Arabidopsis thaliana: one gene and its partner. The protein of the gene in region 1 interacts with the protein of each later gene in a pairwise test. Each region holds a gene or a part of one and is shown on either strand. Other genes may lie near its edges.

The links. Proteins that work in one complex are often made in the same cells at the same time.
Region 2: the proteins of RAP2.2 (region 1) and BCAT-2 interact in a two-hybrid assay, tested with the Arabidopsis thaliana proteins (one large-scale study listed by BioGRID).

The regions. Positions count from the first base shown.
Region 1 is NC_003074.8:4,737,310-4,741,064, reverse strand, and holds the start of RAP2.2 (uncharacterized protein), read left to right. Parts: upstream 1-1,928; 5' UTR 1,929-2,064; coding exon 2,065-2,365; intron 2,366-2,610; coding exon 2,611-3,449; 3' UTR 3,450-3,490; intron 3,491-3,592; 3' UTR 3,593-3,755.
Region 2 is NC_003070.9:3,286,368-3,290,122, reverse strand, and holds the start of BCAT-2 (branched-chain amino acid transaminase 2), read right to left. Parts: upstream 2,037-3,755; 5' UTR 1,869-2,036; coding exon 1,803-1,868; exon of another isoform or gene 1,693-1,802; coding exon 1,619-1,692; intron 1,522-1,618; coding exon 1,344-1,521; intron 1,263-1,343; coding exon 1,086-1,262; intron 1,004-1,085; coding exon 872-1,003; intron 795-871; coding exon 696-794; intron 621-695; coding exon 504-620; intron 442-503; coding exon 346-441; intron 268-345; coding exon 155-267; intron 74-154; coding exon 1-73. Other genes in the region: BCAT-1 (branched-chain amino acid transaminase 1), read right to left, coding at 3,286-3,400, 3,477-3,589, 3,724-3,755. UniProt on the Arabidopsis thaliana protein: Converts 2-oxo acids to branched-chain amino acids. Shows activity with L-Leu, L-Ile and L-Val as amino donors and 2-oxoglutarate as an amino acceptor, but no activity for D-isomers of Leu, Ile, Val, Asp, Glu or Ala.

The DNA of each region.
Region 1 (3,755 bases):
GGGTTCCCCCTAATCTTTTATGCTGAGAAATAGATGTATATTCTTAGATAGTAATATAAAATTGGGTTAAAGAATGATGATTCGATTATAGCCTCAACTAGAAGATACGTGTAGTGCAGGTGTGTAGTTAACTGGTGGTAGTGGCAGACAACCAGATTAGGAGTTAAATAAAGCCTTTAGATTTGAGAGATTGAAATATTCGATTGGAACCTTTCTAGATTTTTACAGCCATCTAAAATTAGATGCAGATCACCTACTACCATTCAAAAATGAACAAAATAATTTCATTTACATTTTCCTAGCATAAGATATAATAATAAAATAGTGCTCATTTTAATTACTTTTTCTAAATATTTTCGTTATTTTAAATTTTGCTTGTCTATACTCTACAGCTCATTTAATAACGGAAACAAAAATAATTGCAGGGATACGGATGGGTAGCTTTCAAAACTTACATCATCTTCTGTTTCTTGAGATCAACTATTTTTGGAGCTTTGTCTCAATCGTACCAAAGGATAATGGTCCTACCTCCTTTTGCATTCTTAACTTTATCTTCTCTACTTATTTCTTTTTTGGGATTTTTGGGGGTATTATTTTATCTTTTGTAGATATACACATTGATTTACTACAAACGTATACTACTATCCATCTTCAACTCTTCGGAATATGATTTCGAAAAAACTATGAAGATTAACGGGTATCTTAAACATGTTAAGATACACCGGACAATTTTCATTTAGAAGAATTGATATGCAATTAACAATAAATAGTTGATGATCTTTTAGTTTTGAAGATGTGCGTTAAGACTTAAGCGTGTGGTAACAAGGTGGGACTCGGGCAACGCAAAGCCTTGTAGAGTCCACTTGCTCAACTTGTCTTTCTTTTATCTCTTTTCCAAGTCTCAAGATTCAATGAACTCCGTGTAACACAAACACGCCCATAGATGAGCTCATTTTTGGTATTTCCAATATTGCCACTCCATGATAATATCATCTAGGGATGGGGTTCATTTATTTTGAAATCTCAACAAATCTCGTCGATTCTAACACACATGATTGATTTGTTTACTTACTTGAAAGTTGGCAACTATCTGGGATTAAAATTTATCTTTTTCTACTGCTAGCTAGAAGCATCTATATATGTTAGCCTAATACGTGGAAGATGTCATTGCTAATAATGGCTAAAGATGTGTATTAATTTTTCTTCTTTTTTCCTTGAATTTTTGTTCTTTGACATAAACTATGCTGTCAAAATGTGTAGAATCTTTTTACATAAATCATTCCCTGTTACACACTAAAAGGTTCACAACGGACGATTGTATTGGACTTCCAGATCATAAACCATGCAAAACTGAAAACCACAAGAATAATTAGTTCTAACTTTAGAACGTTCGTACGTGTTTCATGTTCAAAAAGCGTCAATTATAAAAGTTGGGAAATTACTTTTGAGTTTTGACATTTCTAAGGACAGTCAAATATGACAACATTGGGATGCAACTTACCTTGTATTAACTTATTTTGTTATAAAACCATATATTACATATTTTAAAGGGTTGATAAATAATCAAATATACCAAAACATAGCTTTTCAATATATTTGTAAAACACGTTTGGTCTACTAGCTAATTATGAGAACATTTGTTCAATGCATGATTATCTAGTATCTACTAGTGGATTATGAAAATTAGATATTTTCATTGCATGATTATCTTCCATATATAGTGATAACATCAAAAGAATCTACACCAATTATTGCATTTTTTCATTATATAATAAGCACTAAACTGTAAAATTATATTCAGCCACCCAAACCATGACAAATCACCTTAAAGGCTTAAACACATAACAGCCATTACGAGTCACAGGTAAGGGTATAATAGTAAAGAATCAATCTATATAATATACGACCCACCCTTTCTCATTCTTTCTGGAGAGTAACATCGAGACAAAGAAGAAAAACTAAAAAAGAGAACCCCAAAGAATCGAATATTTATTATTTCGCCCCGAAGATTCTATTTCTGATCATTTACACCCCTAAAAAGAGTAGAGCTTTCGTGAAGCCACCATGTGTGGAGGAGCTATAATCTCCGATTTCATACCTCCGCCGAGGTCCCTCCGCGTCACTAACGAGTTTATCTGGCCGGATCTGAAAAACAAAGTGAAAGCTTCAAAGAAGAGATCGAATAAGCGATCCGATTTCTTCGATCTTGACGATGATTTCGAAGCTGATTTCCAAGGGTTTAAGGATGACTCGGCTTTTGACTGCGAAGACGATGATGATGTCTTCGTCAATGTTAAGCCTTTCGTCTTCACCGCAACTACTAAGCCCGTAGCTTCCGCTTTCGTCTCCACTGGTATATATTTGGGTTTGATTCGAATCTCAACTTTTATTTGAATTGGAAAGCTCATGAAATTTTTAGATCTTTAGGTTTTCAGAGGCTTTTCTTAGTTTATAGCTTAGTCTTTGGAATTGGTTGATCTCACTGGTCTTGTAACCATCTGCTGTTACTATGTTGATTATATACCAGCTTACCGTCCTTAGCTCCTGAAGGGATGCAGTTTTGTTTGTTCTATTCAGCTTATGATTGATATTGTGTGTGTTTGGCTACAGTAGGTTCAGCATATGCCAAGAAAACTGTAGAGTCCGCTGAGCAAGCTGAGAAATCTTCTAAGAGGAAGAGGAAGAATCAATACCGAGGGATTAGGCAGCGTCCTTGGGGAAAATGGGCTGCGGAGATCCGTGATCCGAGAAAAGGCTCCCGAGAATGGCTTGGAACATTCGACACTGCTGAGGAAGCAGCAAGAGCTTATGATGCTGCAGCACGCAGAATCCGTGGCACGAAAGCTAAGGTGAATTTTCCCGAGGAGAAGAACCCTAGCGTCGTATCCCAGAAACGTCCTAGTGCTAAGACTAATAATCTTCAGAAATCAGTGGCTAAACCAAACAAAAGCGTAACTTTGGTTCAGCAGCCAACACATCTGAGTCAGCAGTACTGCAACAACTCCTTTGACAACTCTTTTGGTGATATGAGTTTCATGGAAGAGAAGCCTCAGATGTACAACAATCAGTTTGGGTTAACAAACTCGTTCGATGCTGGAGGTAACAATGGATACCAGTATTTCAGTTCCGATCAGGGCAGTAACTCCTTCGACTGTTCTGAGTTCGGGTGGAGTGATCACGGCCCTAAAACACCCGAGATCTCTTCAATGCTTGTCAATAACAACGAAGCATCATTTGTTGAAGAAACCAATGCAGCCAAGAAGCTCAAACCAAACTCTGATGAGTCAGACGATCTGATGGCATACCTTGACAACGCCTTGTGGGACACCCCACTAGAAGTGGAAGCCATGCTTGGCGCAGATGCTGGTGCTGTGACTCAGGAAGAGGAAAACCCAGTGGAGCTATGGAGCTTAGATGAGATCAATTTCATGCTGGAAGGAGACTTTTGAAGTGATCGATGGTTCCTTAGTTTGTAAATAAAGCTGTGTTGGTGAGTTACAGTTACAAGCTCTTCTTGTTGAATCGTAAAGACAAACAACCTAAGTGTTGGTTTCAGGATTAATCTTCTGTCGTTCTTTTTTGGTTGTTTCAGGATTTTGCTGTTGGGGGATGGTACAAGTCACACCTCAAGCTCTATGCATTGGTATCTCATGAGCCTCTCTTCCATAGAGAGTTTCTCTTTTAATTTTGTCGAAATAAAAAAGGTGTGATGAAGTAAATAGAGGTATAATAATATCTATCTATTAAGTCTTGTT
Region 2 (3,755 bases), on another chromosome or scaffold:
TCCTGTCTGGATACCTACGAGGACTGAACGCAGTTTCTGGCAGACAGATTCATCCCCGGTTTTATACTCTACTCTGAATGTTTCAGAAAGATTACATCAGTCCATTTCTTTGCTTAAGGCTTGAGTAAAACTTGATTCAGGCATTGAGATTTACCTTTTTTCCTGATATGTGATAGTGCCCACGGGAGCAACTACTACAGCAGTTCCGGTGCAAAAAACTTCATCTGCATCCATTACTTCATCCACATGAACTGCCTTCTCTACTACCTGATCATAACTCAGGTGTGAAACTTAGCTGAGTTTAGTTTTTGGGTGTTTAGAGTGATTCAATCTTATCTGTGTTACCTGATAACCTTGATCACTTGCGATCTCCATCACACTTTTCCGCGTAATCCCTTCAAGAATTGTTCCATTAGTTGCAGGAGTTGAGATTGTCCGACCCTGAATCAATGATACAATTAGGATGCAACAAAGAGACATGGAGACACCACAATATATCTTACCTTGACAACAAAGACGTTGCAAGAAGAAGCCTCCTCTAAGTACTTCTTCTTGACAGAGTCGAGATAAAGAACGTCTGAAAACCCCCGACTCTTGGCTCTGCTCAGTGCTTTCAAAACCTACAAACACGTGGTTTATCAAAACTCTTTTTCTGACTCTGGTCTTTGAGAAACTAAGTTGGTTTCAACACTTACTGGCGCATAATTTGTGATGCTCTTGACGCCTCCAGCTCCACCAGGAGCCGCTCGGACATATTCTTCCTCAACATAGAGGTTAAGAGCAGCCATCCCTTCCTACAAATCAGTGAACAAAACATTTGCTAATCGTTCCATCGCCAAAAAGCATGGACATGCAAGAGTATTGTATATACCTTGAAGTAGTTACCAACTGGAGATGCATAGACAATGAATGTATATTCAGGTGCAGGACCTAAACCAAGTATTGGACCACTTCCCATCAACAAAGGCCTAATGTACAAAGTCCCTTTCCCTGCAGGAGGAACCTGAACAAACACATCATCACTTATCAGATCCCAAAAACAAACCTCTTCAGAAGAAATATACGTCACAAGAAAGCGTTTTTACCCAACGTTTGTTTGCAAGAGCGGTTTGTTTAACTGCATTAACAAACTGATCAACCGAAGGAGAAGGCATGAGCATCCGTTCAGCGCCAAGCTTCATCCGGATAGCGTTGTGATCCGGACGAAACAAAAGAAGCTTCCCATTTTCTTTCCTGTATGCTTTTGTACCTTCGTATATCGCCTGCAAAGAATCCCAAAACCTCTATTGATCATACAGTTGAGAAACAAATCAAGAAACATTTGGGGGTTACGAGATCCTTGCCTGTCCATAGTTTAAGACTCCAGCAGAAGGACTTAGCTGAATATTCCCATAGGGACTAAGTTCTCCTTGAGTGAATTCGCCGTCTTTTGAGCATTTCATGACATACATGTAATCAGCTGGATTTAGACCAAACCCGAGATTATCCCAATCCAAATCCGCATATACATCATCTCCATTTCTATATGATACAATTACAACAAATTTGAAACAGAGCTTTTTCCAATGGTAACAAAATATCTATATGACCTGGCTGGATCATGAAAAAGAGAACTTACTGATAAAGAGGTTTCTTACGCTCTTCTCGCAAAGCCGATGCAGCTTGTGCGTTGTACTTGGCGAAAGTTTGTAGCTATTTCATCAGGACAAAAAAAACAGAACATAAAACATGTTTGTATCTGAGATCCGAGTTATGTCTCTAAGTAAGTAATCATCATTAGATTGTAAGAATCCAGTTTATACCGTACGAATATGTAAATGAAGAGGTAGAACCAGAGTTTTGCGTAGAGATGTGATTGTTTTGATCATCTTCTTTTGCAGAGCCTCTGTTTTAATTCTCTTGATTTCAATAATAATAAAAAAAACAACAAAATAAAGAAATGAAGAGAGAATTTTGTTGAATGATATACCGAAAAAGAAGGTGGAAGAGAAAACACAAAGAAGAGTGTCAAATTAAGTATCCAACACGTAAGTGAATGCGGAGCTTATGTACAGTGTCTGCTTTTATCTTGGCAAATCGTTGAATTTGTTTTATTTTTTTTCTTATTTTTATCTTTTAGTGGTAAGAGTTCTTATCTTATTTTTGTGTTTCTTTTGCTTCGTCACTTGTGTCTATCTGCCCTGATCAGACAGATCTAGACGTGTCTTTCTGAAACTAGATTTTAACGAAATCAACGGACTATTGTTCTTTTCTCGTTCTCTTATGGGGTAAATAAATGAAGAAAATTAGTGGTGTATCTTCAAAATGGAGATTTCTATTTTTGAACTGTAAACTATTGTAAGTTGGTATAAATATCAATTTAGCAATGTTTCTTCGGCACGCAATTACCTAAAGTATACAAACAAATACTTGACGAAAAAACAAAATACAGACAAGTACTAATTTCAGTAATTTTCCATGAGATGTGAAATAGTAAACTAGTGATGTGAAAGCCACGTTGGACCAAGAGGTCTTTGTCGGATAAACAATTTTCTTTCCATGTCAATCTTTTAGACCATATTGTTGTCTTTTCAACGTCTTTGTCCGTAACTACCCAAATGGGAGATAAACACGTTGTGGAGATTGACAGCCACGTCAGTCTGAGAACTTTTCTTATCTGATAACAACGTTTTTGCTAAGATGGCTTACTAATGAATATTGATGTCCCTTTCCAGTATCGTCGTATCACTAGTGTCATCGACTATTAGTACACACTTGACGCGAGCACACTCCTTCGTTTTCTTATAAATATCTTTAAAAAAAAAAATTCAAATTATAAATATACCAAACCTAGTGGAACAATCAACGAACCTCATTTCTTTGAAAAATCTTAAATCGCATTTGTCGTGTCTTATCAAAGAATCTTAGACAGTCTTGTGTGTGGAATCTACAATATTTACAAAAAAAAAAAAGTTTCGACAAAATTGTTTTTTTTCTAAAAGCGAATATACCGCCGTAGAGTCTGGCAAATAGAATCTGAGGAGGCTGATCATACAGCAATGGTATTTTGAACCAATGGTGGCAAAATGCCACAAAGACAAACCATTAGATTACATATCCTGACCTTGAAGTTGAAGGTCTTTAGTTTTGCTTTTGTCTCTTTGGAAGAGTGAAACAAATGTTTAATACTAATACGATGTGGTGATATATCACAAATTTATGTCACAAATTTACCAAAAACTATTTCAAAAGCTTTTGATGGGTGATCAAGAGAGTGCAACATTATTTATAGGATATGAAAGTAACTTAGGCAATCTGCAAAACCCAATCTTTAGTGTCTTGGATAGAACCAGTTTGTATTCCGACAAGAATAGATCGAAGTTGCTGTGTAACAATCCCATCTCCAACTTTGTACTCAGTCCTGCAGATTATTTATCAACAGATAAATGTAAAATTCTAAGCATATGTATACATGTATCCAGAGAGGAAGAAGAGACCTTGTGTTCTTAAAAGTGATGCTTCCAACAGAAGCAACTCCAGCGGCAGTTCCAGTGCAGAAAACTTCTTCAGCTTCCTTCAGTTCTTCTACCGGAACACTTCGTTCTTCCACCTGAGTCCATTACACACTTATCAAAACTTCCATGCATCAAAAGTATTCCTATTTTGAAACAGAGTATTGCTCTGTTTTTTGACTCAAGATTGGAAACGGTGTTAGAAGAAAAAAGACGTGGAATAACTACTAACTTTGTAACCAAGATCAAGGGCGATTTCGATTA